Linked DNA regions of Anolis sagrei. The protein of the gene in region 2 interacts with the protein of the main gene of each other region in a biochemical or structural test. Links are inferred from orthologs where the notes say so. Each region holds a gene or a part of one and is shown on either strand. Other genes may lie near its edges. The genes, in order: SYT1 and STON2.

Region 1 (17,142 bases), on a different chromosome or scaffold from region 2:
GGTTAGGAGACATCAAGAGCCTTTCTATAAAACAAATAAATAAAAAATTCACTCCTAATAGCCCAGTCTTTTCCAACTATCCAACAGACCTGCTCTTTTGTGTAGAAATTATGTTTTTGATCCTTCTATAAATAGCACACCATATGGTAGTGAAGTTGTCTATCGGTTATAAGAAAAAGACATACAACAACAACAACAACAACAACAACAACAACACATCTAGCCTAATAAAACAAGCAACCCCCGCCCCCACCATTATCTCACTGAAGGACTTCACCAAAATTTCAGTGTGCCTTTCTCAAGTTTGGAATTGCAGACTACAAATCATAGAAGAGTAGCTGGGTGGATGTCTTCCAGACTGAATCAAAATAATAATTCAATAATATTCATCAGAATCATGCAATCAAACTAGGTAACTAGGTACCCCCTTCTTAGTATAGCTTGTGTAAACTTTTTTTTTTTACTTATGGAAACAGTTTGCCTATTAGCATCTGGCAGTTTCATTGTGTTTGTTTGTAGATCTGATCCTACGTCCCATTGAATTATTCTATTTCAGTTTAATTTTTTTCTAATCAATGAGCAAGAATCTATTAATTTTGTGTGTGAAATGAGAAATTTTGAAACATAAAAACAGACATTCTTGGCTAGCATCTCCACTAAAAACATTGGACATAATTTTTAGCATATAGTTCAGCTTTCTCGGTTGCACTTTCATATAAACTAGTATAAAATTTTAGCTATTTCAAGATAGGATGTTGTTGTTGTTGCTAATTTTATTCAATCCAATTGATTGAACAATGTGTGTCTCCACATATTGTTACCTAATGCTATCTCTGTAAATAAAAGAGGAATAAATCAAAATTAATGAAATAAAATACAAAAATTATATTAAAAATTCTGAAAGATACATGGACTAGGCACATAACATTGTGTAGATTCTCATTTTACACTACAGTTATACAAAAACAGTTAACTGGAAATATATTTCATATGTAAATAATATAACTCTCTCATCAGTGTTAAATATTTTGTTCTGTTGAATGTTGCCCTAAGGAACAACAGTTCATGTTGTTTTTATCTAGCATGAGTACTTCCAAAATATCAAACCCCTATCAGATAATCAGTCACTGTAAATATATTTTGTGTGCTGTTGTTTTATTCTGATTTTTTCTCCCTACACTAATAAAGAGGAACTGTGCTCAAACAGAAGTGAATTCCAGAAAGAATCTGCAAAGAATCTTCCAGGACTGAGAGGCACAGCTCCCTCTAGAAGAAAAGAAGAAGAAATCCCCAGTGGATCCACCTTAAAGGAACTGGTGAAAACAAAAACAGAATATGACAGAGAAGAAAATGTTGAAATCCCAAAGCCATTTTAAACCAAGTTGAAAATACTTAAAGCTGGTATTGTCTTAGGGCTTGGATTGCATTCCTCAAAATGATTTTTCTCCAGTAATCTCGACCAAAAGTCAAGTGGACGACGTGTCTGTTAAGGTATTTCAAAAGTAATGCTGAACTACATTTCAGATTACTGGGAAAATCAACACACACAAACTGTATTTCAAACTGTAAAAAATGGAATGAAATGATGAACAAGTTAATTTAAAGCATACTAGACATATATGCCAATAGTCTATCCATGTCTGATTTCAGGGATTTGTTTTTGAGTGGGCAACTTTTTCATATTGTTAATACAAATGATTTACTTTTCTTGACATGGAACACTTAGATCAACAGCATAGTAGTACTGCATAAATCTGGCAGTTTTGCATCTTAAAAAATCACTATATATTTTACAGAAGTGCTATTTTCTTTCTGTATAGTCATATTAAATATGTGCACCACATGTGTGAGAGTGTGCATTATAGTTCTGTACAGCATGTAATATCTGTACTATTTTAAAACCTTCCCTAGTTGGTTGGTGCACAGCATTAAAAAAATATATCTCCCACAAAACATATGACTTTTATACATATAAAATATCCTCCAAATACTTGTTTGCTTAATACTGCATTTATTAATTTAAGCATTTTAGTGTGAAATGTTCCTTTTGAATGTCATAGGAACATAATAGCATAAGCTTTATCCAAAACCCTTCCCATAGGTACACTTCTAATTAAGGTCTTTTGAATACATTATAAAACTCAAAACAAACAAATTTAGAGGCCCAAAATACTAAAGTAGTTTGATTTTTTTTCTTGTAAAATTCTGTATCAGAGCCATTTAATCAATAATTTTGAAATCTAGAGAGAGAGACAGAGAGGGAGTAATGGCTAAGCAAAATACTGCCACTTTAATACTAAATATAATTTCCTGATTAGTCAAAATGCTTTTATATATGAAACACAAGGGACACCCAAAAGCCAGCATTCATAGGAACTACGGACAGTAATACACTGAATGCCGATGATGACTTTTCCAAGTTTTTAAATATCTTGGTATCAAATGGTTGTAATTTAATTGCTATATTTGAAAGTGATTTTATTGCATAAATAGAAATTAACCACAATGACATGTTCAAATGATTTAATTTCTCCCTGAAATACCATAAATTAACTATAAACTTTCTAAAGAGGCAACTCTGAAAACATCTCGTCACATCCAGGATAACAATCTGTAAATGCACAGATTCACCATTAACTTTTATTTTATGCTCATGGTCTTTTTATTGTAATTAGAAAAAAAATGGGGTATTGCTCTCTCACATCTCTAGCAGAGTCCCTTTCTGTAACCTCAATCAGCCTCTTCTATTTAGTCAATAAAATAGCCTTGTATTTGGATTTGCAGTACTTATTCAAACAAAAAACCAAAAAATTCCAGTATTCAACATCCAGTGTTGCTCCATCCTCATGTCCTCTTTTTATTTTTGTACTCCTTGTGAACAAGTGCCAAAAGATTTAAACATAATATCCATTGGTTCAATAGGGGGGGGGGGGGATACAGTTTGTGAGATAAAACTCCAAATTCTGTGATCAATATTCCTATAAACAGAGGTAATTCTTGTAGCGTCAATCATTCAAAGGTACTCTGAAGTATTTTTAATGTGTAGGCAAATTAGGATAGTATAAATTGGTAGATTGTTTTTACTTCTGCAAGTGCAAAGGAGTTCACAATTCCCTGCAGAATGCCATTATCTGGCTTTCCCTCTATTTTGCCCTCTCTTTACAGGATCTGCCTGTTGTCCTGATTTTTACTGCAAGCAATTAAGATTCATGGACCGCTTGAAATGATGCGGACTCACAGAATTCAATGAAAATAATCCAGTGCAGATGAGTACTCTCAGTAGCTTTCATTATATTTCTCAGTTTTGGGGTCATACACATTTCAAATGCTCCAAGACAGGTGATCAGAGTTCTGACTTTATATACAATATATTTATTTCTAGGCATTAGCAACAAACAACTTTAAAAAAGGCAACAGCCTGGTTGGGAGGGGGAGAATGTCTCCTAACCATAAAACTAGGTCACGTTTAAATAACCAAATCTTCTGCACTTTCAAGACTTATTGCAATGAACATGCAAGTATTTAAGGTACGAGGCATCATTGTACTTGCTGCATCAAAATACCCGTCTGCCATAGGTCAAGTTTATAAGAGATAAAGTATTTCTGAAATCCTCTTAACGGCTGTTGAGCGTCTTGCTTTCTCTGCCGGCCCTGACATGAGTGCATGCAAAACACTGATATACTCAAGGGAAAAATTCATTACATATTTATCAAGGCAAAATATATCCTTTAAAATGCAGAGTTTCAGATAATATGAATTTTAAACATAGGTTTTAAGATTAACCCTATGAGACTTTTTTTAGTGGACCAAATGCCTGTACTTATAATCTCTTTTTGCATCCGCTTTAGAATTAAAAATAACTCTCCATTAACAATACTCAGGAAGACACACAGCACGGGTATAAAAGCAGAAGAGCTGCTGAAAGCACAAAACATGATTGCACAAATAAGGGTCATGCTTTGAGTTGCAGAACCTTAGTATCTAAAATTACTGTACGGACTCAGAACAGAAGAATATATGGAGGGTGAGGCAGTGAAAATGCTGTTAAAAGATGACATGTAGTGAGGAAAATGTATGAAATTGGTCCCAGCTAATCACATAGATACCATCTTTAGTCACAACAGGACATTAAAAAACAAAACTTGGCATTCTCCTATGCCAATTGGAGGCTTATATCCATCAACCAATTGTGGCCAAATATGCCTTCCTACTCATTTAGAACTTCACTTGGAACACTTTCCACTTATAATTACCCAGGAGACTTCTTTCTACCACTTCCACTGACCAACATCCCTCAGTTGGGGCTGATGAATAAATAATAATAATAATAATAATAATAATAATAATAATAATAATAATAAATGAACAACAGTAAAAGGCATCTCACATCAGTGTTGACTGAGTTGCAGATCACTGAAAATGCTATAAAGACTAATTCTGATGAGAGTGTGTAATGAACATGCAATGCTCCAGTAAGTGGCCCAATATCTTTCCAAGGAAACAAGAGGTGATGGGAGGGATATCCTTCAAAATGCCTTGGATAACTTTGTGACACCAGCTTTTTAAACTTTTCCTAAGCCTTCCATACATCTCATTTTTAACCGTATTGTGAGTACTGTAATACCATATGGCTTATGTAGATTATTGACAACAATCCTTTCCACATTATCGGTGAAAGAGAAAGTATGGGGAGAATGATAAAACAATTATAAAGGGAGATGCTATTAATAATGATGATGGGGGCACGGGGGGCAGGGATATAGATCTGCCAGCTCTTCTAAAGATGTGCAGGTCCATCATTTATAATGTCATTTTTTAAAACTCCAAAAACCATGATCTCAATCATTTTTTAAAAAAATTCAAAAGCATCCTTTCCATCCCCTGTATCACAACAAAACCCTTTGCATTTCCTTGGATGGCACTGAACAGGCTGCGCTCTGGCATCAGGAGATGCTGAGCCAACCTTAAGAAATGGGGCCACAAAGTGGAGCCCACGACATGCGAGTGTGGGGAAGAGCAAACCACAGACCACCAATTAAAATGTAGTCTGAGCTCTGCCACATTGCACAATGGAGGACCTTCTTGTAGCAACTCCAAGTGGCCAGCTTGTGGTCAAAGGATATTTAGTATAATGCCAAGTTTTTAAACTTTGTTTGTGTTTTTAAATACATTACAACTGTACCTTCAGTTCACTTCCGATATGAAAAATAAATAAATAAATTTCCTTTGGGGACTGTTGCTGGAGAATAACAAACATCACGGTTTGCATCTAACTCTAGCAGATGATGAATCTGAGTGAATCCTGAACACAGGGGATTGGGGAGCTAGGCTACCTTGTGATGGAAATAGTTGATGCTGAAACTCTGTTTCCATCATCACCCAATGCATCATCCCTAGAAGAAGGGGGACTTTGGGAGGCTGGGACTATGATTAACTTTTGTTCAGTGTCCTCATTTTCCCTCCTCGCACCTTGTTGTTTGTTTGAGAGCAAAAAAAGAAAAAAAAAGAAAAACCAGAACTAGAATGGTCCTTTCCAAAGCTGTTTCTCCTGCTTGGAGGCAGGTGAAGGGTTTGTTTACTGTCGGGTAAGCACTTTGGTGCTTTGGAGGCGCTGAGAAGGATGCAGCATCCCCTCCTTGCCTCTCCACCTCCTTCCATTTCACCCCATGTTACCCTCCATCCAGCCCACTTCTCCTAGGAGAGAAACACCCAGGTGGGTGGGAAGCTTTTTTTTTACCTTCCTCGAGTGGGTGGAGATTGCTAGACAGCAACCCAACCCAAGCTCCCATCTCTTTCCCTTGAACCCCAACGCCATTCCCACCTTCCTCCCCCCACAGTTCTCTGGAGAAGGGCCATGTGCTCCTTTGGCCGTCCTTTCCAAAGGTCCCTCTCTCTCTCTCTCTCTCTCGAGTGGTGCCCCTCACAGACTTCCAAGTGGTAGCCATGAAGCCAGCCAGCCAGCCAACCCCGCCTTACCTGCCAAGCCGAACTAGCAGAAGGAAAGAAGGGCGGGAGGAGGAGACGAGGCTGTCCTTCAGCACTCTTGTTCTTTCTAGTGTCGAGAATGGGATGGAAGCCTTGGAGACCAAACAACGGACCGGCGCAGCAAGGCGAACCCCTTTTTTTCCCCTCAGGCGAGCGCCCACATCGCCTCAGCGCGCGCTCCCGCGCCTCAGCGGGTCTTCAGCTGAGCCCCCCTCCCCTTATTCCCCCCTTTGTCTCGGGGGTTAAGTTTCAGCTGCTACTGGCTGCTAAGCAGAGGAGGAAGAGGAGGAGGAGGAGGAGGGAAGGCTTGGGAGAGAGAGAGAGAGAGAGAAAGCCAGCCTGGACTCCACGGAGGGAGGGAGGGAGGAGGGGAGGGAGGGGCGCACAGCTCAGAGCATCACCGCTCTGCAGCTTCTGCTAGGAATCCCTCCACGGAGGAGGGAGGGAGGGAGGCAACGCCGATTGGCTGCGAGGCGGGGATTGCCTCCGCCAGAGCCAATCAGGGCGCCGGCATCGCAGGTGGGGCTGTCTGAGGCAGCATCGCCCTTCTTTCCCCCCACTGTCGTTACGTTATTGCCTCTTCCCTCCTCCCGTTCCAGATACACACACGCACACCAGAGATAGAGATATATACACGCATTCACAGAGGGAGAGGGAGGGGGGGGGAGAGAGAGAGGCGCGCACCCGCCTTCAGGGGCTGGGGAGGGTGTTCCCCCACGAATGACAACCAAGGGCACGCTCTGTGGAAGGGGCCGGGGGGCTGCGCGTCCCGCCCACTCCTCCTCCTCCTCCTCCTCCCTCCCACTTTCTCTGCCATGGGAAGCCAGTCGCCCGGGTGACCTGATTCTCTCCCTGACCCTCGCCTTCCCTCCTCCCCTCCGCTCCCTTCCCCGAAAGCTGGCAATTTGCAATATGGCATCGTTGAGTGCGAGAAACACAGAAAGACATCCACGAGCAAGCGCCAGGGACTCCCACAGAAGCGGCAATGGAAATGAAAGCAAAGCCTGAAACAGAAAGAGGGCCCTGGCCTTCTCACCTCTTGGCATAGGCAAACTCTGGCCCTCCAGGTGTTTGGGCTTCAGCTCCCACTATTCCTAACAGCCTACGTTGCATTCTCCCCAGCATCATTCTCTTCTCCGAGCTTTCCTGTCTTCTACCCCTCTATTCTGCCTTGGTTAGACCACACCTGGAATATTGTGTCGAATTCGGGGCACCACAATTGAAGAGAGATATGGACAAGCCGGAATGTGTCCAAACAGGCATGTAGCCAGGGGGAGGGGGGGCTTTGGGGGCTTCAGCCCCCCCCCCCCCCCCCGAAATTCTCATGGTGGTCTACGAAAAGGCCTTGCTGGTACATTATTTAAACTGTTCTGTCTATTCATATCATGATCTGATCACCATGCCCAATATATCTCATATGCATGGGGGTAGCATGGGGGTATTGGGGTAATGATGCAAAAGGTTTGCTAGGGTAGACCCTCTTTCACTCAGACTCAGCCCCCCCCCCAAATCAAACTCAGCCCTCCCCCCCCCATCAAAATTCTGGCTACAGGCCTGTGTCCAAAAGAGGGCGACTAAAATGATCAGGAGTCTGGAGAACAAGCCCTATGAGGAGCGGCTTAAAGAGCTGGGCATATTTATTTATTTTATTTTATTTAAAGCATTTATATTCCGCCCTTTTCACCCTGAAGGGGACTCAGGGTGGAGCACAATATATAAACGGCAAACATTCAATGCCAAAACATATTATACCATACACATACAAAAGCATTAAAATCACATATCTTGATGTTAAAATCCACTAGTTAAAACTATCTCAACAACCATATCAAATTTGGTTGGCATACTAAGGGTTCCTATCGCTGCCTCATTGCACAGTCCCAAAGGCTCAGTCCCACAGCCACGTTATCATCAGGACAAGAGGGAGGGGGCTGACCTGATCTCATTAGGAAGGGAGCTCTATTGTCGAAGGACAATTACTGAGAAGGCCCTGTCTCTTGTCCCCGCCAAATGCTCCTGTGATGGTGGTGGGACCGAGAGCAGGGCCTCCCCAGAAGATCTTAATCTCTGTGGTGGTTCATAGGGGGAGATGCGTTCAGGCAGGTAAATTGGGCCGGGGCCGTTTAGCCTAAAGAAGAGAAGGCTGAGAGGAGACATGATAGCCATGTATAAATATGTGAGAGGAAGTCATAGGGGGGAGGGAGCAAGCTTGTTTTCTGCTGCCCTGGAGACTAGGATGCGGAACAATGGCTTCAAACTACAAGAAAGGTGAACCTTAGGAAGAACTTCCTGACTGTGAGAGCCGTTCAGCAGTGGAACTCTCTGCCCCAGAGTGTGGTGGAGGCTCCTTCTTTGGAAGCTTTTAAACAGAGGCTTGATTGCCATCTGTCAGGGGTGCTTTGAATACCATTTTCCTGCTTCTTGGCAGGGGATTGGACTGGATGGCCCATGAGGTCTCTTTCAACTCTATGATTCTATGATTCTCATTATGTGGCCAAAGTACTCCATCTTTGCCTCTAATATCCTTCCCTCCAGTGAGCAGTCAGGCTCTATTTCCTGGAGTATGGACTGGTTGGATCTTCTCAGAATTTTTCTCCTGCACCACAGTTCAAAAGCATCTATCTTCCTTCGCTCAGCCTTCCTTATGGTCCAGCTCTCACATCCATAGGTTACTATGGGAAATTCCATTACTTTAATTATGTAGATTTTCAGTGCAACCATGCACATCTACAGTGTGGAAATAATGCACTTTGGTTCCACTTAAACTGCCATCTTTAAATATTATGGAATTCTGGAAGTTGTATTTTTTACAGTCTTTAGTCTCAGAGTGCTGGTGCCTATCGGCTGTTAGGAATTGTGGGAGTTGAAGTCCAAAACACCTGGAGGGCTGATGCTTGCCCATGCCTGGTCTACACTGATTCCACTTTAATGGCCATGGTTAGATATTGTGGAATCATTGGCATTGTAGTTTGTTGAGGCAATGTAGATGTGTATAGTTGCACTGAAGATCTGCATAATCAAAGCAATGGTCTTCCCCATAGTAAGCTATGGGTGCAAGAGCTGGATTATAAGGAAGGCTGAGTGAAGGAAAAATAGACAATTTTGAACTGTGGTGCTGGAGGAAAATTCTGAGAGTGCCTTGGACCGCAAGAAGATCAGATCAGTCCATACTATAGGAAATAATGCCCGACTGCTCACTGGGGGGAAGGATATTAGAGACAAAGATGAAGTGCTTTGGCTACATAATGAGAAGACAGGAAAGCTTGGAGAAGATAATGATGCTGGGGAAAATGGAAGGGAAAAGGAAGAGGGGCCAACCAAGGACAAGATGGATGGATGGCATCCTTGAAGTGACTGGCTTGACCTTGAAGGAGCTGGGGGTGGCCATGGTCGACAGGGAGCTCTGGCGTGGGCTTGTCCATGAAGTCACAAAGAGTCGGAAGCAACAACAACAAAGATGTACCCTTTGAGTTCTCTTTCAGCCTTTCTTCTTCCTCTTAGCAATGGTTAAGCTATTTTGTTGAAGTGAAGATGAAGAGGGGTACACCCTATATCTTAATACTCCCTCATTTTCACTATACAGAATTGGTTGGCCAATGGCTATCCCATTCCCAGACAGTATCTGTAGTAGCAAGTGGATTTAAAATAAGAATTTATGGACTTTATGACACTCAGGGGTTTCAGCAAAATACAAACAGACATCTTTACAGCTTTGATTCATTATGAATTGATCTGATAATTGCTCTGTAAAAGGCAACTCACAACAAATGCTGGGTCGAAATGCCCAAATAGATGTGGAAACAAAGCTATTCTGAAGCTCCCAGGAAACATAAAAAATATTTTGCAAAAATTAACTCTTTCACAAAATAATTGCAAAAGTAGAACGGAGGATGTTATATGTTATGTTTTTAATCACATGGCAAGATTTCTTGAAGGCTTGAACCCAAATCCGAAGCAAATTTTCTTCCATGCACATTTTCCCTATAGTCTAACCATCAATTCCTTTCTAGAAACACCAGAAGATGAGTATGTCTGTATTTATGTTATTTTCCTTACGTTCTGTCACAATAGTCTGTTCAACGTTTGAGAATTATGAGTGTCTAAAAATGATGATTTCTCACATGTTAAAATTTGGACACAAAGATACATTCCACAGCCCATCTATCTAGTGCGCATCAGTTGAAGTTGCATCGTATAGTGTGCACTCCATTTTTTGTGAGACCACTGTATATGGACTGAGGTGTGGAATCCAAACTGTCTGATAACCTTTGTGCCAGACTTGTCTGCCCATGAAACATGATAAGGAGCTGTCCTAAGAATCAAATTAATGGTCCATAGAGCCCTGTGATGGACTGCAGTTCTCCAGGGACTGCCTGGAAGAGATTTTTCTAACTCTTGCTGGCTGCAAATATCAAGGGTTGAACTTAAGCTATAGAGGAAGAGTTTTGCCTGACAGGAGAGAAGGCTTTGATTTGATATCTCAAGGAACTATTGACAGTTTTTGTGGAAATGTTGCCAGGGCAGAAGGAGCAGGGGAGAGAAGTGCATACAGGAGTCAATACAGTAGGGAATTGGATTATGCCCTAAGTCGAATAGCATATATTTTAACCATTTAAATTCAATCGCTAGTTCTAACTAGAGGAAACCCAGTGAATCAACGAGACATACATAGCTGTTGCTTTATGCATTTTCTAGTTATTTCACATATCTATTCTTAAAGGGACTAACAATAAGATTTAGGTTGCTATGAGTTTTCCAGGCTATATGGCCATGTTCCAGAAGCATTCTCTCCTGACATTTTCCCCACAGCTATAGCAGGCATCCTCAGAGGTTGTGAGATTTGTTGGAAACTAGGCAAGTGGAGTTTATATATCTCTGGAATGTCCAGGGTGGGAGAAAGAACTATTGTCTGTTTGAGGCAGGTGTGGATGTTGCAATTGGCCACCGTGATTAGTATTGAATGGCCATGAAGCTTTAAAGCCTGACTGCTTGCTGCCTGGGGGAATCCTTCACTGAGAGGTGTTAGCTGGCCATGATAGTTTCCTGTCTGGAATTCCCCTCTTTATTGAGTGTTGTTCATTATTTACTGTCCTGATTTTAGAGTTTTTAAAATACTGGTAGCTAGATTTTGTTCATTTGCCTGCCCACCCCCACGAAATAAGGAGACTGACAACAATAACTTGGGTTCAAATTGGACAATTGTTAATAAAATTACCTATTTAACTTTTTCTGTTCTAACTGGGGTGAGTCTTGAACTTGGTGAAGGGCAAAGCCGAGGTAGCATCCATACCTGGACTACTCCCCGGCGACTTGGGCGAAACACCTGGGTCCCCTGCAAATTTACAACTGGGCAACCTCTAAGGAAACCTGGAGAAGCCTCCCCCAATGTTATTGAGGCCAGATTCTCACCAATTTAAGGCCAGTTGATTTAACCTCACCCCATCCAAGTGATCAACAGGTCAGTGTTTTAGCTACAGGCCATCACCCCTGAAGGGGGTGCCTTGGGTATACGCCGAATATCCGATTGTCCTCTCTATTTATGCTAACCTATTTAGATGCCACACCACCCCAGCTAGCCCCTATGTTCCTAGAACATAGGAGAGGTAAAAATTCCTACTCGGTCCCAGCTGGCAACAATGCATATACTTCCAAAATGGGCAGGTGTGGTGGGTCACCAAAAGAGCTCAGAATGAGCCAAGGGGGCTGAGCCACAGGCTTAGCCCAGCTCCATCCTCTATTCTGGATGGTTTCATGGAACCAACCATTCTCCCTTTGGAGTGGGAGGCAAATCTCTCTCTAACCCTACTGCACAGGGATGGAAAGCTCCTTTTATGGTTTCTTCCTTTCTGTTGAAATTATACACATGCTTGTGGATTTCAATGGCTTCTCTGTATAGTCTGACATGGTGGCTGTTAGAGTGGTCCATTTCTGTGTTCTCAAATAATATGCAGTGTCCGAGTTGGTTCATAAAGTGCTCTGCTAAGGCTGACTTCTCTAGTTGAAGTAGTCTGCAGTGCCCTTCATGTTCCTTGATTCATGTTCGGGCGCTGCGTTTAGTGGTCCCTGTGTAGACTTGTTCACAGCTGCATGGTATACAGTAGACTCCTGCAGAGGTGAGAGGATCCTTTTTGTCCTTTGCTGAACGTAGTATTTGTTGGATTTTCTTAGTGGGTCTGTAGATAGTTTTTAGGTTGTGTTTCTTCATCAGCTTCCCTATGCAGTCAGTGGTTCCCTTGATGTATGGTAAGAACACTTTTCCTTTGGGGGGATCTTTGTTTTTGATGGCTTGTTCTTGGTCTTGCAGCTCTTCTGATGTCTGTGGTTGAGTATTTATTGACCAATAATAAATAAGATTTAGTACCATTTATCTATTGTGTTTGCACCCTACTTTTTCACCCAAGAATTCAACAAAAGACGTGTCTTGATAATATTACTATTCCCCTGTGCAGTAGGGATGGAGAGAGATTATTCCAGAGCTTCTTTCTATTTGAGATGACTTAAAGGTTATTGTATATTTATGCTGCATTATATTGACTACATTTTAAAGTTTGTGGGATGAAATTTCAGGCACAAATGAAGCTAAATTACCATTAGATGTCTACCATTAGGCTTTTGGGCTTTCAGCATCCAAAAAAAAGGATTCAATCAAGTATCATTGTTTTGCCAGATGTTACTGCTTTTGATATGAAGCACAACTACCATGGTGTGTGTGTTTGTGTGTGTTTCCTGTTGTGCCACTGATGTCTAATATCACCTGCAATGTTTGTATTAACAGTAGCAGTATTCAATAGTAACTAATGACTCTCACATACAATAAAGAACCATGCCTAGCAAGCACAGCAAGGGGATGAATCACAAGTCCACAGATTAAAGAATCTAATGCCACAAAATGAAAAATGATATAAATTAAGTATTTATGCACATTATTTTGGAAAATAATGAAGTCAGATAGATTTGGGCTTTTTCACACTTGAAAGCAGATTTCCCAGTGTATTTCTATCCTCCTTGGCTGTAATATTATAACAATAATCAGAATGCTTGATGCAGTTTTCTAGCAGGTCTTTCTGACTTTGTGGAACCATCAAGCTTCTTCTATGTGCAGTGCACTAGCATAATACCGTTGCAATCCTATGACCTTATAGAGCAAAAACAGGAATAAACTGAGCAACACCAGCAGTTAATATCATAGCATCCATGGCAACATCATCACTAGTTAGCAGCAATTGCAGTGCTGCATCCTAATGGTGACACCACAATATGCATGTTCAGAAGAATATAGTAAAGGTACACATTGCAACATCCTCATGATACTACCACGCATAGTACATGGTGGCATAGTGGAGCCAGGAATCACATCAGAACCACATGGGACTTTTTGATTGGTTAGGGTAAACAGATATCATTTTCCTCTTCCCCAAACTTACCTGAAACAAAATTTCACTACTGGAAAAAGAATGCAACTTTCCAGATGCCTTCTCAGTACTCATTCATCAATAATAGTTATTGCTGCAGAATAAGTTCTGAGAAGGGATCAGGAAAGCTGCACTTTTTTCCTGGTTAAGTAGGTGTCTACATCCATTTTCCAGTCCATTTAGGCAATTACACTGAACCTATGACATTATATATTGTACTCCTTATTCAAGCTCTGAACCTAGGGTTCATTAGTATCTGAAGGGTAATGCAGATTGCTGAATTTGTGTTCACCGATTTGGATCTTTGTAGAATTAAAAGCCTTTCCAGATACATGGTGGCACCTCTCACACATCAGGAATTTATGGCAAGCAGGGTCATGTTTTTGTACAGTAAATATTGATTTTCTGATTCCTAACACCAGGCACTTTTCTGACCACACCAGGCACTTTATTATTTATTTATTTCATATATTTATATCCCGCCTTTCTCCCCACAAGGGGGACTCAGCATGGCCTCACATGAGCATCAGAGGATGCTAACAATATAAATACCATAAAAACTACAACTTACAATAAAATCATTTTAAAACATTGTACATCATCAATAAAAGTTCTCCCTCATTCAGAGTTGTACAAATATCCAACACTGACTTGGATTCAGATATAAAGAATTATGAACTAGCAACACTGTAGGATCCTGAAAGCAATGAACCCACCAAAGCCTATCTCCCAGAGACTGTGAGGCAGAACCTATCAAGAGCCTGGAAATCTTGTCCCCAAGGCATCACACTCCAGTAAACCTGCTTGCTGCTGTAGTGCCACAGAGGAGGCCTATTACAAGGAACCCTCATTGGAAGAGCTTCCTGTTTAAGGTGCAAAACAAATTTCTACAAAATGTAAAAAGCTGGAAAGGGGGAAAAAGAATAAACCTACTCAGTTTAGATAGCCATTACTGGGAAAAGGCTTGAGAGCTCTGTCCAGGGTCCTGAAAGACAAGGCTTTGTCATTGTCGGCTTTAGTTGATTTGGAATTCAGTATTCCCAGAGCTGTTCACAGAAATCATGTGTGTTTGTGCATCCATGTTTGTGTGTCTAATACAAATATAAAACACAATGTAGTACAGCATCAATGCAAAGGAAAATACAGACATTTTTTTAATCTAGTAGAACTAACATTTATGATAGCAATTAATTTAACATGGAACAGCAGTAGAGAAAGGGATTAACCTCTTCCCTGTGTATTACCTATATTCTAATTAAAACATACCCCTGTGCACCTCCAGGTATTTGGCCAGGAGTGAAAATATGACTGACACCATAAAATTCTTTGGTTTTCCCTTTTACCTTAGTTTAAGGCTGCTTCTTTTTTTCCTGCTTGCATTTAACCTTTTTCCCCAAGCCTTGTATGTTTCAAAGTGGAGTGGTCTGCTTATCACATAACAGCAGTGCAATGAGCTTTCAGTTCAGGAAGAAAAATTACAGAGAAGATAGTGCTTCTTTCTCAGAAATTGATATTTGCTCATGGAATTAAAACACAAATGCTGTTCCACTAATGAAAACATGCAAGCCATTTTTGCTTTTCTTTGGACTATATCAAAATAGATCTTTTTAGCAAGTATGCATATAAAAAATCATGGGGGAAATAACTGGAGAAAAGGTTAAATTGATGACCTTTTGCTTGTTTGCTTTCCAGAATTGATCTCTTTTCAATGTGTTTTTTTAAAAAATAAACCATGTTATACTGTTATATTTATAGTTTAGGAAACAAGACTTTCATTTTTTCTGATGATATAGCAGGTGAGAGTTCAAAGGGTTGCAACCTGGAATATAGAAAGCAGAGATGAATGATCAATGGATTTAAAGATATTCTAGGCTTTGATCATAAAGAACATTTCTACATGATGATATATAGGCGGCATTTGACCCCTGACAAAACTATCTAACATGTATAAAGAGATAAAAAATGTATGCTGGAAACGTGAGACACATCAAGCTAAGAAATATTGGAGATGGATGCAAGATGGATGCAAGTGGATTTAGAGTCAGCTTTATTTCTGTTAGGACTACTAAATGAACAAATTCAACACCTGAATTTTAAATTATTACACTATATTCTGTAAAAATACTGTTGTTTCAAAAATGGAAGAACACAAATGTACCTACACAAGAACATGGCATCTTAAAAGATATTTTAAATGGCAGAAATTGACAAATTATCTAGTATGATTGAAAAGCCAGCCTTAAATAACTTCTTAGAAGATTGAGAACACTTTTTAACCTTTGTAAAAAAAAGAAGGAAAACATGGAAACGTTTGTGTGATTTAAAGATTACATTCCATAATATTTTTGTAGTTATAAGGTAGAAATCAAGACTATATATTACACTATAGTGAGAAGATGGCTACATATTCAAAGAAGTGTCTTTAGGTTGGAAGGCAGGAAATAAAATTTAATATTTTATAAGTGGGAAAGGGTTGAATTAATTTTAGAGTGGGGATTTATATATGTAACATAAAAGCAATATAATACACTTATATAATAAGTTACAGTATATAAAAGTAATATAGTATATTAGGTTTGTACTTTGATGTAACATTATATATATGTTTCAATAATAAAAAGATTGGGAGAAAGGAAAGTTCAGAATACTTAACTATTTTTATATTTAAAATGTGGTATCATCTACTGCAGAAAGGTCATAGGTTGTTGATCTCCCTACAATTTGATATTAAAAATAAAAGAACAGGAAATGAGATATAAATCTCATATTAATGTCTTATGTAAATATTCAAATTTGGAGTAAACCAAGCCAGACATTCTGGAAGGTATTATTGTATTATTCATTGTTGCTCAACCACAGGAATAAAGAGACAAGACACAGGATATTCAATGAAATAAGAGTAATTTTTATTATTACTATTTCAAATTGTTTCTTATTGATGAGCAAAAGCTAAAGCAGGGAGTAAAACTTATGTGGGAGTGACAGGAGCAAAAGGTCTAACCCAGACCACAAACCATAGTCTCCCTGGGATGGAAACACCATGCCCTCCGAGAGGAATCTCTGAAATTGAGGGTTGCTCTCACATAAGCCATAAACTAGAAGGCTAGCAAGAAAGTGTAAGCCTTGGTCAGGGCAAAGACCAAGAGACGGACAGTTTTTCCAACCCCCAGATCACATGAGACCCAGGGACACACCCCAAATCCCATCCAACACCAAAATGAACCAGAAGATGTTCACTAACTCATATTTTGCACCTATACCAGCCATAGATAGGGGTCAAGCATCTACTTAGCCCCTATCCCCCACCAAACTTAACAAAATAGCTTTAATTTTCTTTTGCAAAACACAAGAAACAGCTCATTGCCAAAATGAGATAAGTAGACTTCATCTTTGCAAGTAATTTGGGTCTGTAATAAGTGATTTCAGGGTGTAGAGTAAACCATTCTCTTATGGACAACATCTAGTGTGTGGACATAATCCCATCCCATAACATATTCCACTAATGAACCTCTCTTATTTTCAGGAAGTTTTTCCTAATGCTTTGGTGGAATCCCTGTCCATCTTTCTGACTTGGCATGAACTGTATCATGGTCTGACTTGTTTTCAAATCTATCAGATGTTCCACACTGTATTTGAACCCATTCCACTAGTCTGCAGATCTGCTTTCATGTTATGGGTTTATTATGATCCCTAAGGAGTATACAACATAACTGAATCTACTTTACAGAAACTTCCACATAATTT
Region 2 (16,417 bases):
ACAAGCATTATTTGATAGAGAAGGCTAAAGAACTCCTAAAAGTTTCCACAGAATTGAGCCATGGCAGGTAAAGTGGTATCAAATTGCATTCATTCTACAGTGTAGATGCATCTACAACAACAACTAACACTATGATTATAAGTAAGAACAAAAATTTAGCTCATCTTTCTGCCAGGGGTCAGACAGTAGGATTAAAGATCCAGAAATGCCATGGAAAAGTTTGTTATAAATTCTATGAAAATCTAGTCTCTTGTAATGCTCACAAATCCATCTGAGGAAACAAAATCCATTGCTCATTGGTTTCCATAAAAATTCAGGCATGCTGCAGGATCTAAAGGAATGCTTTTAGCATTATTTTAAGAAAATACTAGTGTATACACCCATTCCTAATGATACTGAATTTAGAAAAATCAAAGTGAAGCATGTTCAACCAGCCACAAAACTAAAAGGCACTGAGTTTTGTTCATGCATTTTTTGGTTTTGGGATCTCTAAAAAGAAAATGGGGGTATTATCATAATAAAGGGGCAGCCACTTTGAAAGTAGCAAGGTATAATTATCTTAAGAAAATAAATAAGAATAAAAATGTATTGTAGAAAAAGTTAATATAGGTTTGTAAAAGGGCCTTATTACAAAACAATGAAACTAGAAGAGTTGTTTTCACATAGCTGCAAATTCTTTCCCTCCTCTTACTTCGTATTTTTATGCTTTCCTCTTAAGTAATATACTTTTTCAAAGTCTACTTTCAGTTTCCTTGAGTTTCAAAAGAAGTTTCCACAAGATAAAAGGAGCTGGCAGGGAGAAGATACAAACTACACATCCAATGCTAACAAAACGAGTTCTTGGCCTTTGTGAGATGGAGGGAGGGTTTGTAGATATTTAGATCACTACACTTTTACAGCTGACACTACACAATCCTACTACACAATCCATGTATAGTTTTTATAAACTACTATACCAGCAGACAACTGCTCATTGGAGGGAAGTATATTAGAGGCAAAGATGAAGTATTTTGGCCACATGATGAGAAGACAGGAAAGCTTAGAGAAGGCAATTATGCTGGGGCAAATGGAAGGAAAAAGAAAGAGGGGCTGACCAAGGGCAAGACGGATGGATGGCATCCTTGAAGTGACTGGCTTGACCTTGAAGCAGCTGGGGGTGGTGACAGCAACAGGGAGCTCTGGTATGGGCTGGTCCATGAGGTCATGAATAGTTGGAAGCAACTGAATGAATGAACAACAACAACATACCAACAGAAGAACTATTTTAGTAGAAATAACTGAAGACTAGATGCCTGCAGTCAAAAGGTTGACCAATTAAATCATCATGACTTGTACAGGTTGAGCACTCCTTATCTAAAATTCCAGAATATGAAATACTCCAAAAATGATGTTATCCACAAGGGTGGCTAAGATCATGACACCTTTGCTTTCTGATGTTTCAGTGTACACATTAACTTTGCTTCATGGACAAAGTTATGAAAAATATTGTGTATAAAGTTATATTCAAGGCTATGGGTACATAAACAGAAATGGATGTTACCTTTAAGACCTGGGTCGCATCTACATAATATCTCATTGTGTATTTATTTGCAAACACAGTTTTTCCAAAATCCGGGAAAAAAACCCAACTCCACAAACTTCTGGTCCCAAGCATTTTGGATAGAGGATACTCAATCTACATTTGTCTTACTTGTTTGACTAGATAGGGTTGGATTTAAAAAGATCTTGACTGAGACATGAAATTTACTGAGCCTGTGACAATCATGCATAGGCTGACGTGAAGAAAAAAACATAACAACTTTACATCTGCATAAAATTATATGCAGTAAGGACAAGATATTAACAATTACAGCTACTCTCAACACTCTGATCATAGCTCTCACAACTCTTTCTGTTCTTTTTCTCTTTTTCATCTATTCTTCTTAAGGGTTTTCTGGCACTTTGTACCCTGGCTGCTGTATGTCCTTTCCTTAGCCAACTTGTATCTTGGCTTTTTGCCTTTAACTTTTCCAAGGATGTTTTGCAGACTTCAGTCTATCACACAAAGCTTCTAGGGTATATGTAGTCAAACTGCCAGCTTCCTCTTACCTTTCAAAAACAGGCCTCAAAACATATATAATTCATCATAGTGCACTCAGGTGCTGCTTCGGCATTCCATATTATCAGAGAGTATGGGATACAATCAAAGACCTACCACAAGCACAATCCAATATCATACAGACAACTTACTTCAAAATCCATTCCCTTCTAATTTCAACTGGAGAAAGTATAACATAGGAAGGCTAACAATGTGTGGCATGGAAATTATGGAGGATGCTTAGTCTTGGAAACAGGTTCAAGTTTCTTTTTTCACATCAAGGTTTTATTTCTTTTAATGAAGGGAAATATAGCAATGCAAAAGATATTGTGAGAAATAGCTCCAAACAACTGAGGTCGAGACAGAAAATCAACAAAATGCTCCTCTTCCTATAAACACTGGCCATACCACCTTAATGGAAACCTGTGTAAAAAGAACTAGGTCAATAGACCAGGCATGGGCAAACTTTCTAACTTGGGGGCTACGTGGTGGGCTGGATGGGCCAGGAGGGAAGAAGAGAGGAGTTTCTCCCAAGTCCCGTCCCCCCAGCCCTTTCTTCTTCTCTTTTGGAGGCAGTAAGTGAATTAAAAACAGGAAACGTTTGGATCCCAAAAGTGTTAGCCTTTGTTAGGATGAGATGGTGAACAGAAGAGAAAAAGTGTATCCATTAGGTCCCATATTGTCTACTCCTGATATAGAATCGTAGAGCTGGAAGAGATCACCGAGGGCCATCTAGTCCAACCTGCTGCCATGCAAGAAGGCACAATAAAATGCACTTCCGATAGACAGACTCTGCAGAAAAGCCTCCAGAGAAGAAGACTCCACCACATTCCGAGGCAGCCTATGCCACTCTTCAACAACTCTTACTCTCAGTAAGTTCTTCCTAATCATTGCAGTCGAATCTCTTTCCCTGCCATTTGACCCCATTGCTCCCTTGGGCCCTGGTCTGTAGAGCAGCAGAAAGTCAGTTTTCCCCCTCCTCCTCAATGGGACACACTTTTAAATCTTGCAACATGGTTCTTATGTTCCCTCTCTACCTTTTCTTCTCTCGGCTATACATCCCCTAGGAGGCAAGAAGGAAGGAAAAAGAGAAGGAAGGAAATAAGGAAGGAATGGGAAGATGGATGGATGGATGGAAGGAAGGAAGAGTGGAAGGAAATGGAGGGAAGGGAGGAAAGAAAGAAAGATGGAAGGAAAGACAAAAGGGAAGGAAGGAGAAAGAGAGAGTGGGAAGGAAGGAGGAAAGGTGGAAGAAAAGAAAGGAGGGGAGAGGGAGAAAGAGGGAGGGAAGAAGGAAGAAAAGAGAGAAGGGATGAAGGATAGGATGGTGAGAGATTGGAGGGCCTGAGAAAAGAGCCCAAGGGGCCACATCCGGGCCCCGGGCCTGGGTTTCCCCATACCTGCAATAGACTGATGACCCTGACTGGCCTTCCATTAGACAAAGTAAGATGCCATATAAGGCAACTCATTTTGATAGACAACAGACAGGGGTGTTTTTTTTTTTTGGGGGGGGGGGGGTTGGGGCAATTTAAGCATTGTATTTTTACTGCCAGGGAGATAATGAGACCCTTGTGGATTTTCTTCTTCAAGTGCCAGAGTAATGTGATGTACCTTGGAATCTAAGCATCTTGAATTGTGCATGGAGGATTTTTCCCCCACACATTGGCTGCTGTGAATCAGGTGGCAAAATGCCACTGCTGAAATCTGTCTCCTGCTCTGCTCAATGGCTCCTCTACTTCAGACTTGGCAAACTATTTTTTTTCACATACACAGTATTTATTTCGACAGTTTCTCCTCATCAGGAAGAGAATCAGCAAGTGGGGCACCACAAGGTTCTGTCCCTGGCTTAGTTTTGGTTAATATCTTTATAAATGGTTTGGAAGACAGAACAGAGGACCTGCCTATCAAAGTTTCAGAAAACTGGGAATACCCCAGAAGGCAATATTGGGATCAGATTAGACAGCTAGGCCAAAATCAACAAGATACAGTTCAACCTTGGAGGAAAACAAGATATTCAAATATAAGGTGTGTGACATTGACTTGAAAATAATAATAATAAATAATGAAATTTCATTTGTACCCCGCTACCATCTCCCCAAGGGACTCGGTGCGGCTTACATGAGGCCAAGCCCACAGCACATCAATAAACAAATGCGATAACAAATAGTAAATACAAAACAGTTAAAATAAACTCAAAAACAGAAAATACACAATAAGCAATAAACAATAACAATTTCAATAACATACAGCATTTAAAACCTATGAAAAGAATCTATGGCTCTTCGGGCCACAGTGGTGCAACGGCTTAAACCCTTGTGCAGTTGAACTGCTGACCTGAAGGTTGGCAGTTTGAATTCACAGGACAGGGTGAACTCTTGCTGTTAGCTCTAGCTCCTGCCAACCTAGCAGTTTGAAAACATGCAAATGTGATTAAATAAATAGTTACTGCTTTGGCAGAAAAAAAGGCAAAAAAACAAAACAAAAAAACAACAACAACAAAAGGAAGACAGTCCAAGCAGTCTTGCTGGCCACACAACCAGGCTCCTTGGCTAGGAAATGGAGAAAAGCACCTCCCCTAGAGCCAGAAATGAAAGTAGAAGCATTTACCTTGTTTGTGTTTGTGTGTCTCATTGTTTGTGATTGTAAGGCACTGAATGCTTGCTGTATATACTGTAATCAGCTCTTGAGTCCCCAAGGGGAGAAGGGCAGAATATAGATAAAGTGTATTATTGGGAGACCGCAAGCAATGATCTGGAAAGGATTCTAACTCTTGGATTTTTGCCACAGTTCTTTGGATTTGCATACTATCCAAAGGGCAAGGAGATAGACTAGATGCCCTTTGCATCCCTTCCAAGTCTATGATTGTATTATTGTACTGTATTAGCAATGTTTCTGAACCTTGCCAAAAAAAGTCTAAGGGAACCAAAGCAACTTCAATTAAAAATGACCTTTCACTTTTCTAAACATTAGAACACCACTCAAAATATGAATCATACAAGCTTGGATAAGTTAAGCTTACAAGTATTTAAGTAATTGATGTATTGTGAAGAGTGAGGCCACAATGTCAATACATTGTCGATTGGAATTGGCTGAAACCTTCCTCCCTATTGACTGATGTCTGGGAAATGAATGAATTTAGAAGAGAGACAGACCAGGAAATAGGGTGTCCAGGGTGGGAGAAAAAACTCTTGTATGTTTGAGGCAGGTGTGGATGTTGCAATCGGCCACCTAGATTAGCATTGAATGGCCTTCCAGCTTCAAGCCTGGCTGATTGCTGCCTGTGGGAATCCTTTGTTTGGGGGTGTTAGCTGGCCCTGATTAATTCTTGTCTGCTTTTTTTTTTTACTATTGCTCTTTATTTACTGTCCAGACAGTAACAAAGGATTCTCCCAGGTAGCAATCAGCCAAACTTTGAGGCTGCAGGCTATCAGCATTGAATGGCCTTGTAGCTTCAAAGAGTAGCTTGTTTCTGCCTGGGGGAATACCTAGGGAGATTAGGCAAGCACCCACCTTGTCAGCCTTTAGGAAACGTTTGAAAACTTGGCTGTTCCACCTTGCTTGTGATGAATGAATAAGAAATCCCCATATCATGACCATCCAGCATAAGGCACTTTATCTCATCCCTGGCAGGAACATTAAACCCCATAGCTCGTCCCATCCATATCTCTCCCTCTAGATACTACTCCCTTTTCCATCTCACTCAATCTCCCGGGGCACTTTGTTCAACTCCTTTGTTTTTAACTTTTCACCATACCTCATACCTGGTGTTTTATCCCACTGTGTTATTTTTCTTTCTTGTTTATATTTTATTTGAGTTATTATTTGCTGTATGTATTTTATTTTGTTTATTGTATTTGTCAGGCTTGCCTCATGTTAGCCGCCCCGAGTCACTGAGGTATGATGGTGGAGGGGTATAAATAAAGTTTAATAATAATAATAATTGTTGGGAGGTGTTAGCTGGCCGTGGTTGTTTTATGTCCAGAATTGCCCTGTTAGTTGAGTGTTTCTCTTTATTTACTGTCCTGATTTTAGATTTTTTTTAAAAAAATACGGGTAGCCAGATTTTGTTTATTTTCATGGTTACCTCCTTTCTGTTGAAATTTCAATCAGGAGCAGCTAACACCGACCAACAAAGGATTCCCCCAGGCAGAAATCAGCCAGTCTTTGAAGCTGCAAGGCTATTCAATGCTAATCAAGGTGGCCAATTGCAGTATTCACACTTGCCTCAAGCGGATAAGAGTTCTTTCTCCCACCCTGGACATTATTCCATGGATATATAAACCTCACAGTCCTCGTGGACAAGTTAAACATGAGCCAACAATGTGATGCAACGGCAAAAAAGCCAATGGGATTTTGGCCTACATCAATAGGAGTACAGTGTCTAGATCCAGGGGCCAAAACTAGCAACATGAAGTTCAATAGGGACAAATGCAAGATACTCTTACCTAGGCAGAAAAAATGAAATGCCAAGATACAGAATGGGGGATGCCTGGCTAGACAGCAGTATGCATGAAAAGGATCTTAGAGTCCTTGTGGTCAACAAGTTAAACAGTTAACAATGTCATGCGGCAGCAGAAAAGCCAATAGAATCTTGGCCTACATAAAGAGATCCAGGGAAGTCATGCTACCCATGCTCTATTCTGCCTTGGTTAGACCACACCTGGAATATTGTGTCCAATTCTGGGCACCACAATTGAAAGGAGATATTGACAAGCTGGAATGTGTCCAGAGGAGGGTGACTAAAATGATTAAGGGTCTGGAGAACAAGCCCTATGAGGAGCGGCTTAAAGAGCTGGGCATGTTTAGCCTGAAGAAGAGAAGGCTGAGAGGAGACATGATAGCCATGGATAAATATGTGAGGGGAAGTCATAGGGAGGAGGGAGCAAGCTTGTTTTCTGCTGCCCTGGAGACTAGGACTCGGAGCAATGTCTTCAAACTAAAGAAAGGAGATTCCATCTGAACATGAGGAAGAACTCCCTGACTGTGATAGCCATTCAGCAGTGGAACTCTCTGCCCCAGAGTGTGGTGGAGGCTCCTTCTTTGCAGGCTTTTAAACAGAGGCTGGATGGCCATCTGCTGGAGATGCTTTGAATGCAATATTCCTGTTTCTTGGCAGAATGGGGTTGGACTGGATGGCCCATGAGGTCTCTTCCAACTCTACGATTCTATGATTCACTTGCCTAGTTTCCAACAGACCTCACAACCTCTAAGGATGCTTGCCATAGATGTGGGCGAAACGTCGGGAGAGAATGCTTCTGGAACATGGTCATACAGCCTGGAAAACTCACACCACCCAATCATGTATATTGAAGAGGGAGAGGGGGCGGGATATAAATAAAGCATTATTATTATTATTATTATTATTATTATGGTGATTTGAATGCAATAGTCCTGCTTCTTAGCAGGGGGTTGGACTGGATGGCCCATGAGGTCTCTTCCAACTCTTTGATTCTATGGTGATGATGATGATTGTCCCCCCAGGCTGCCTACAGCACACCGTTCCTGCCCTGCTTGAGGGCAGGGAGGGAGGCTTGGGCGGGCTCTCTTGAGTGGAAGTCTTTCCTGGTTTGACTCATTCAGACTACAAGGTGCGCATTTGGGTTTAAAGCAACCGGAGGGAGAAAGAAGAAGCCCAGCCCAAGCTCTCTCTTCCTCTCGCCGGGCTTCCAACCAGCCAACCAGCCAGCCCGCCCTGAGCCCGGATCAGCTAGCCTTTTGTTTCCTTTCCTTTACCAAGCCGGCAGCCAGCTTCCCCCTTTTGCATTGCGATCAAAGCGAACACAACCCGCCTTACCTTTCGGGACCAAGCGCCTCCTGTTTGGCTGCGACCTGCTCTCCTTGCCTTGCCCTCCACTTGCCTCCTTTGCTTCCAAGGGATCTCCCTCTCCCTCCTTCCAGGAATCAAGGTAAAAGGGAAGCAAGCAAAGGGAAACCCAGACCAAACCCGGCTCAGCCGCCGACCTCTCCGCCTTCCCTCTGGAGAGAGGAATCAGGGTTAGAGAGGGGTAGCTCTGGTGGGCGGGACTCCGAAGCCTGATTGGCTGGAGAGGGAGCAGGTGGGCGGGGCGGCCCCTCCTTATCCTCAGCACCTAACTGGGAGTGCATAGCATGCATGCCCTTGCCACCTGCTACCTAAGTGAGCACTTGGAAAACTGAACTGCATCGGGTTGTTGTAGCTTTTCCAGGCTATATGGCCATGTTCTAGAGGCATTTTCTCCTGACGTTTCGCCTGCATCTATGGCAAGCATCCTCAGACGTAGTGAGGTCTGTTGGAACTAGGAAAAAAGAGTTTATATATCTGTGGAATGACCAGGGTGGGACAAAGGACAATCAGGCACATCTAATCACCTCTCAACAAAAGATTCCTCCAGGCACTGCCAAGCCATCAAATGCTAATTAAGATAGTCAGTTGAAACATTCACACCTAGCTCCAGCAGACAAGAGTCCTTTGTCCCACCCTGGTCATTCCAGACCAATCTCGTTTGTCTTTTGAGATCATTTTGAAGTGGTTTCTCTTTTCTTTTTGCTATTTGCTATTTTGCGGTGTTGGAGGAAAGTTCTGAGAGTGCCTTGGACTGCCAGAAGATCCAACCAGTCCATACTTCAGGAAATAAAGCCTGACTGCTCATTGGAGGGAAGGATAGTAGAGGCAAAGAGGAAGTACTTTGGCCACATCATGAGGAGACAGGAAAGCTTAGAAAAGACAATGACGCTGGGGAAAATGGAAGGAAAAAGGAAGAGGGGCCGACCAAGGGCAAGGTGGATGGATGGCATCCTTGAAGTGACTGGATTGACTTTGAAGGAGCTGGGGGTGGTGACGGCCGACAGGGAGCTCTGGCATGGGTTGGTCCATGAGGTCACAAAGAGTCGGAAACGACTGAACAAATGAACAACAACAACAGAAATCTTGTTGATGGGAAGTTTCCCACTGGAGTGGAAATCATCTATTGGACAGATGAGAAGCTATTTAACCTCAGCAGACTGAAAGCCAAAACCAAGGTTACAACAACATCTGTTACAGAACTTCAATATGCTGATGACAATGTTGTCTGTGCGCATTCAGAAGAAGACCTACAAGCCACTCTAAACACCTTCGCAGAACCATACGAGAAGCTCAGCCTGTCATTAAACATCGAGAAAACCAAAGTGCTCTTCCAGCAGTCATCAGCCAACCCTTCTCCAATGCCAGAAATACAGCTTAATGGTGTAACAGTAAAAAATGTTGGTCATTTCCGCTACCTTGGCAGCCACCTCTCTACAAAAGTCAACATTGACACTTAAATTCAACACAGCCTGAGCTCTGCGAGTGCAGCATTTTTCCGTATGAAGCAGAGAGTGTTTGAGGACCGGGACATCCGTAGGGATACCAAGGTGCTTGTTTATAAAGCCATTGTCCTCCCAACCCTGCTATATGCCTGCAAAACACGGACTGTGTACAGACGTCACATGCAACTCCTGGAACGATTCCATCAGCGCTGCCTCTGGAAAATCCTGCAAATCTCCTGGGAAGACAGGTGGACAAATGTCAGCATTCTGGAAGAAGCAAAGACCACCAGCACTGAAGTGATAGTCCTCCGCCATCAACTCAGCTGGACCAGCCATATTTTCCGAATGCCTGACCACCGTCTCCCATCTTTAAGGCCATCTTTAAATCTCTTTTCCTGTCCACCACTATTCCATTTTCCATTCATTACTTGGGAGTATAGTAACTGCTTTGGGAGATGGTGACTGGGCATTCAGACAATGTGGCCAGTGCTGCAAGCTCATGCCTATTTTTTGTTGTTGAGAGATTTGTGAAAGAACCTCTTTGGCCTCTGTATATTATATCTTACATATACAGAGGCCAGGATGACCGCCCCCCCCCCCCCCCGCTTTGGTCTGTTAGGGTTGGGCTTTTAAATATAGTGTGATTGGAATTTTAAGGTGGGCATAAAACTTTAATAATTTTAATATTTTAATGTTTATTAGTTTTAATAGCATACATTATTGGTTTTTGTTTTTTAATTTTATATTTACATTTTAATGTATTCACATGGTTTTCAATTAACATCATTTTATATTGGTCATTAGCAATCAGGAGACAGGCAGGATAAAAATCAATACTGTAACATACATAAATAAATGATGTGTTCAAAGCAAAATCTTTTCAACTTAGGTTTTTCTTGCATGTATGGTTTTCCTGCACAAATAGGCTTCCATAGCTTCCATAGTGTTGATTTTCCTATATTAAATTTTCATTGATTCTGTGAATTCTGTCCCCATTGTTCTCTTTAGGAAAAGTACCAGGGTGAAATGACTTTTAGCTTTCATCACTGTTTTCAATTTCTAGTTTCACATGGTTTGACAGGAGGTTTATTGTAGCTACTTTCCAAATTACAAAACTTGTGTGCTTATCATGTATGTCAATATGCTCACATTTTGTTATATCAGTGTAGGTCTTTAAAGGAAGATTGATATAATAATGATGATAACAAGATAACAATGCACAAGGGTGCTTTGAATGTGATTTTTCTGCCTCCAACTTTATGAATCTATGATTCTATAAAATTTGTTACTTGCCTCTTCTCATGACTTAAGGCTGGGTACAGCATATTTAAAACACATGGATAAAACATAATACCTTTAAAATACATATATTAAAATACGCATAGCTAAGATTTACATGGATACTAATAAAATGTAAAGTAAAATGTATAGTTTAAAATTGGCTGAGTAGGCCTGCTTGAAGAGACAGATCTTCAGTTTTGTCTTGAATGCTGACATCTCATTTAGCTGTTGGAGCTCTTCTGGCAGGTCATTCCATAGTCTTGGGGTATTCAATGAAAAGGTCCTCTGGGTGACAGTCAGCAGTTGGGTTCTGCCTGGGTGGAGTTAGCAGAAGACCTCAGTAGAAGGGGTGGATTGTGTAGGATAAGGCGATCCTGTTGGTAACCTGGACCTAAAGCATGGAGGGCTTTAAAGATTATAACCAACACCTTGTACTTTGCCTGGAAACTAATTGGGAACCAGTGGAGTAGCTTTAGTATGGGTATAATATGCTCACTTAAAGATGTTCCTGTAACCCATCTGGATGCCATGTTTTGAACTAATTGGAGTTTCCCAACTTGGTACAGAGGTATATATATAGTGCATTGCAGAAGTTCAGCCTTGAGGTTACCAGCACATGCACTATCACCTTTAGGTCCTCCAGTTCTAGGAAGGGGCAAAGCTGGCGTATCAGTCGAACTTGGTAGTAAGAACTTCTGATCATCACATCTACCTGGGCTGACATTTGGGGGGACTGATTGAGGAGCACTCCCCATACTGCGAACAGTAATAGAATCATAGAATCACTGAGTTGGAAGAGACCTCGTGGGCCTGAAAGAAGCAGGACAATCACATTCAAAGCACTCCAGACACATGGCCAACTAGCCTCTGTTTAAAAGCCTCCAAAGAAGGAGCCTCCACCACACTCCGAGACAGAGTTCCACTGCTGAACAGCTCTCACAGTTAGGAAGTTCTTCCTGATGTTCAGGTGGAATCTTTCCTGTAGTTTGAAGTCATTGTTCCGAGTCCTAGTCTCCAGGGCAGCAGAAATCAAGCTTGCTCCCACCTCCCTATGACTTCCCCTTACATATTTATACATGGCCATCATGCCTCCTCTCAGCCTTCTCTTCTGCACAGCTCTTTAAGCCGCTCCTCATAGGACTTGTTCTCCAGTCCTATGTATCATATAGGTATTATGATTTGATAGTGACAGAACAGTGTGAACAAATCTATAGATTTGTATAGATATGTGAGCAGAACTCCTCTTCTCCCTGTTAAGCACGCTGCATTCTGCCCTTCACAGAAGTGTTCCCATCAACACTATTTATTTATATATTGCCATCTCTTTAATGCATCTCTTTTTAATGTTTAGTCTTCTTGACTTGTTATGGTCATTACAGAATGCACAGTATTACTTATCTTCTGCTATGCACAGTATCATTTACCTTGAAGCTATAATAATAGTGCAAGCTAATCCATTTAAATAAGCAATTTAAGAGAATGATTTGCATTTATACTTCAGCAACAGCAACATCAACACATTATAAAATTCCCTTCTGTTCATTATAAGCAGCTGGTGTTTTCTTTGAAAATGAAAAGCATTCATATGAAAATGTAGGGAGTTTTGCCTCAGAATTCCCACACTCTCCCTATGTGGCATAAAAACGGGAAGCTTTTTATTCTAATAAGGCATCGAAGAGAAACATTTTCCCTGTTGGCCACCTTTGACTACAAAGCAGGCCACAAAATAAGGATCTGTTTTGTTCTGACAGTGTGTGCACCAGAAATGCACCAAAATAGTCAGATCCCCATTTCTGAACAAACATTTGCATTGTGCACTTGGCAGTGCAATAGAGCACATTAAAAATGTCCAAGGCAGCTTGCAAGTTTAAGAATAATTTTAGTGTCTCCTAGTTACCAATTCTGTGATCCCTGGTAAATAAGTTTAAAATTGGCAAGTTGTAAATCAATAGCCTTATTTGGGATAAGATAACTCTTTTCAAGTTGTTTCCAAAAGTCGTGTTCCATTTTAATTTTTTAATACCAGAAGTTCCCTAAAACCATTGGGGTGGAATTTGGTCACAGTATAGGCCAGGAGGGGCCTTCACTAAAGAGTCCCAGAAGTAAACTTCCAGTTTATCTCCTTTTGCAAAAAGATTTTCTGGAGAATAAAATGTCTGGAGCACTGTGAGCATGGCAAAATTGGCCCCTATCGTCCTAGAAGAGTCTTTGGGGTTGTTTGGACCAAATGGTTTAGCAGTTATTCCCAAGCTTTTTTTGACCAGGAACCACTTGACCAGGGACCATTTAACCAGGAACCACTTGACCAGAAACCACTTGAGCAGGGACCACTCTCCAACATTAGTACCAAAAGGGTTATGAATCGGCTTTTGGACAACTTTAGATTCAGTTTAGTTATTTGGGATGCTGATTCAGAAAAGTGCATTGGATAGACCACATCGGCTCTAGTTTCTGATACAGAACATGTGCTAGTTGCCATCTGCTCATCCACAGAAAACCATATTTAATAATCTAGAGCTGATATGGTAGTCGTGATCTTTGGTGGGTAGTCAGCTTCTCCCCTCCCAACATCCCTCAGCACTATAAGATGGTTTTGCGAGACCAGTCGCTCTCATTGCCACATGGTTTTGAAGCAACGGTGTAATAATAGTGAGGCCGCAGACCATATTTTTGTTCTTGCGGATCATTGGTGATGCATGGGCCACAGGTTGGGAACCACTGGTATAAAGAAAAACATTTGGGACGTTTTGGATAACAAAAAGGATTCAGGGGGTGCATGAGGCCCATGGGCTATTTTCCCCTTCACCTTGTATCTAAATGCAGACTCAAGCAGCAATTCTTGTTCTTTAGAGAAGTACAATCCCTTCGAGAATAAATTGATTCCTGGTTGGATAAGATACGTTATCAACCAACATAAATCCAAAATATTTTGCTGTTGGACATTGGGCACCAGGTGGCACCTGCCCTTCACATAGTACTCAAAGCACCACTCTGCATCTTCAGCCACTGGGAAAAAACACACCCAGTAATAGCAAATTACATGACAAGCAATTTGCTTTCCTACATAATCACTAGTATCTGTTGTCCATTATGGCTGCCTAACTCTGCCTAATGTTAGGGCTGGGCCCATTACCATTTTGATTCATCTTTGGGAAGACTCTAGAAAGATGCAGGCGCTTGTATAGTTTTGGTGGGTAAATTTCTATTTGTACAACCTGATCATGTGGACAAGTTGTTTGGCCTGGTGAGGGAAACTGCTTGTTTATTAGGTTCAAATCCATCCTGGTTGGGAAGAAAGGCTAGTCATTTGTGTGCTAGAGACTGCAAATGATGCTTTCAAAGAAAGGTGTGTTTCAACACCTCAAAAGTAAGCCTTTATAGCCCTATTTACAAAGACTTACTAGTTTCAGAACCCTAGATAATTATCAACAAGTTTCTAATCTTCCTTTTCAAAGTAATGTTTAGAGCAGGTGGGGAAATAATAAGTACTGGGTTTGGATAAAATTCATTAATTTTAACTATCCCAATCTGACCTCACTTCTGGTTTTGGGACAGAAACCTCTTTGGTCACCTTCATGAGTATCATATGCTATGGAATTGGTGGGTGGTGCTTATTTTACTAGACTCTCAATGGTATTTGGTATCATTGATCATTGATATGTCTCTGGTTTATTTGGCTGTTGTGGCACTTAGGGGAACTGTTTGGGTGTGATTCTGGTCCTGTTTGGCCAAATTATAACTGGGGCAGGCTGCAGGGAACACCCAGCCTGCTTGCTGCAACAGGTCACTGGCTGCTGGTCTGTTTCTAAGCACAATTCAGTGTATAGGCAGAACCTATACAGTTCTATATGGTTCAGGTACACATAATCTGAAGGACTGTATTTTCCAATATGGGCCTGAATAGGTTGCAAGATCTTTTGGGCTGGCCTGTCTCTCTGTCCTACCATTTCAATAGGTACATCCATGTGTTTTGGAAGAGCAAATGGAAGAGAGGCTTTTGATGGTGGCTTCTAGACTTTCTTCCTAGACAGGGGCGGCTCAACCGTTTCGCAAAGTAAGCCGTTGCGGAACACTTCATTTCAGCCAGGGGCGCCTCCTCCTCGCCCCTCTGCTGCTCCGTGGCTAAAAGGGTTCCTTCCTCCGAGCAAGAGCAGCAAAGGCGCGAGGGGGAAGCTGCCGCCGCTGAGGCCCTCTTCAGCAGGAGCCTCCTCCTCGCCCTTCTGCTGCTCCATGGCTAAAAGGTCCCTTCCTCGCCAGGCTGGGCTCCCAAGCCTGGCGCCCAGCCTGAGGAGGAAGGAGGATGTAGCAACAGAGGTGCGAGGGGGAAGCAGCTGCCGCTGAGGCCCTCTTCGGCAGGAGCCTCCTCCTCGCCCCTCTGCTGCTCCATGGCTAAAAGTTCCCTTACTTCCCGGGCTGGGCTCCCAAGCCTGGCGCCCAGCTTGGGGAAGAAGGAGCACGGAGCAGCAAAGGGGTGAGGGGGAAGCTGCCGCCGCTGAGGCCCTCTTCGCCAGTAGCCTCCTCCTCGCCCTCAGCGGCAGCAGCTTCCCCCTCGCCCCTTTGCTGCTCCATGCTCCTTCTTCCCCAGGCTGGGCGCCAGGCTTGGGAGCCCAGCCTGGCGAGGAAGGGAATTTTTAGCCACGGAGCAGCACAAGGGCGAGGAGGAGGCTCCTGCCGAAGAGGGCCTCAGCGGCGGCAGCTTCCCCCTCACCCTTCTGCTGCTCCGTGGCTAAAAGTTCCCTTCCTCCTCAGGCTGGGCTCCCAAACCTGGCACCTAGCCTGGGGTGGAAGGAGGACGGAGCATCAGAGGGGCGAGGGAGAAGCTGCCACGGCTGAGGCCCTCTTCGGCAGGAGCCTCCTCCCCGCCCCTCTGCTGCTCCGTGGCTAAAAGTTCCCTTCCTTCCCGGGCTGGGCTCCCAAGCCTGGCGCCCAGCTTGGGGAGGAAGGAGGACGGAGGAGCAAAGGGGCGAGGGGGAAGCTGCCGCCGCTGAGGCCTTCTTTGCCAGCAGCCTCCTCCCCGCCCCTCTGCTGCTCCGTGGCTAAAAGGGTCCCTTCCAAGCCTGGGGAGGAAAGAGCACGGATGGTCAAGGGGGAAGCCGCCGCCACCAATGCCCTCTTTGGCAGCGGCCTCCTCCTTGCATAGATATATATGTGTGTGTGTATATATATATATATATATATATATATATATATATGTGTGTGTGTGTGTGTGTGTGTGTGTACACACGCACACATACATATACATACACAGGCCTGGGCCAATTTCGGCCCTCCTTCCAGGGTCATTTGGGAATTGTAGTTGCTGGGATTATAGTTAACTACTATCAAAGAGCATTCTGAACTCCACCAATGATGGAATTGAACCAAATTTGGCACACAGGACTCCCATGGCCAACAGAAAATATTGAAAGGGTTTGGTGGGCATTGACCTTGAGTTTTGGAGTTGTAGTTCACCTACACCCAGAGAGCACTGTGGACACAAACAATGAAGGATTTAGATCAAACTTGGCACAAATACTCCATGTGCCCAAATGTGAACACCTGTGAAGTTTGGGGGGGGGGGGGGGGAAATAGATCTTGACATTTGAGAGTTGTAGTTATTGGGATTTATAGTTCAGTTACAATCAAAGAACATTCTGAACCCCAATAACGATAGAATTGGGCCAAACTTCCCACATTGAATCCCCCATGACCAACAGAAAACACTTTTCCAGTGGTCTTTGGCGACCCTTCTGACACCTCCTCATGATCCCCCCAAAGGTCTCAACCCCCAGGTTGAGAAATGCTTCCTTATAG

What was found.
Region 1: the proteins of STON2 (region 2) and SYT1 form a complex in vitro, tested with the Homo sapiens proteins (2 studies listed by BioGRID). The link is inferred for Anolis sagrei from reciprocal best matches to the Homo sapiens genes STON2 and SYT1.

What each region holds. Positions count from the first base shown.
Region 1 is NC_090025.1:147,886,713-147,903,854, reverse strand, and holds the start of SYT1 (synaptotagmin-1), read right to left. Parts: upstream 6,393-17,142; 5' UTR 5,978-6,392; intron 1-5,977. UniProt on the Homo sapiens protein: Calcium sensor that participates in triggering neurotransmitter release at the synapse. May have a regulatory role in the membrane interactions during trafficking of synaptic vesicles at the active zone of the synapse.
Region 2 is NC_090021.1:309,877,410-309,893,826, forward strand, and holds the start of STON2 (stonin-2), read right to left. Parts: upstream 8,076-16,417; 5' UTR 7,872-8,075; intron 1-7,871. UniProt on the Homo sapiens protein: Adapter protein involved in endocytic machinery. Involved in the synaptic vesicle recycling. May facilitate clathrin-coated vesicle uncoating.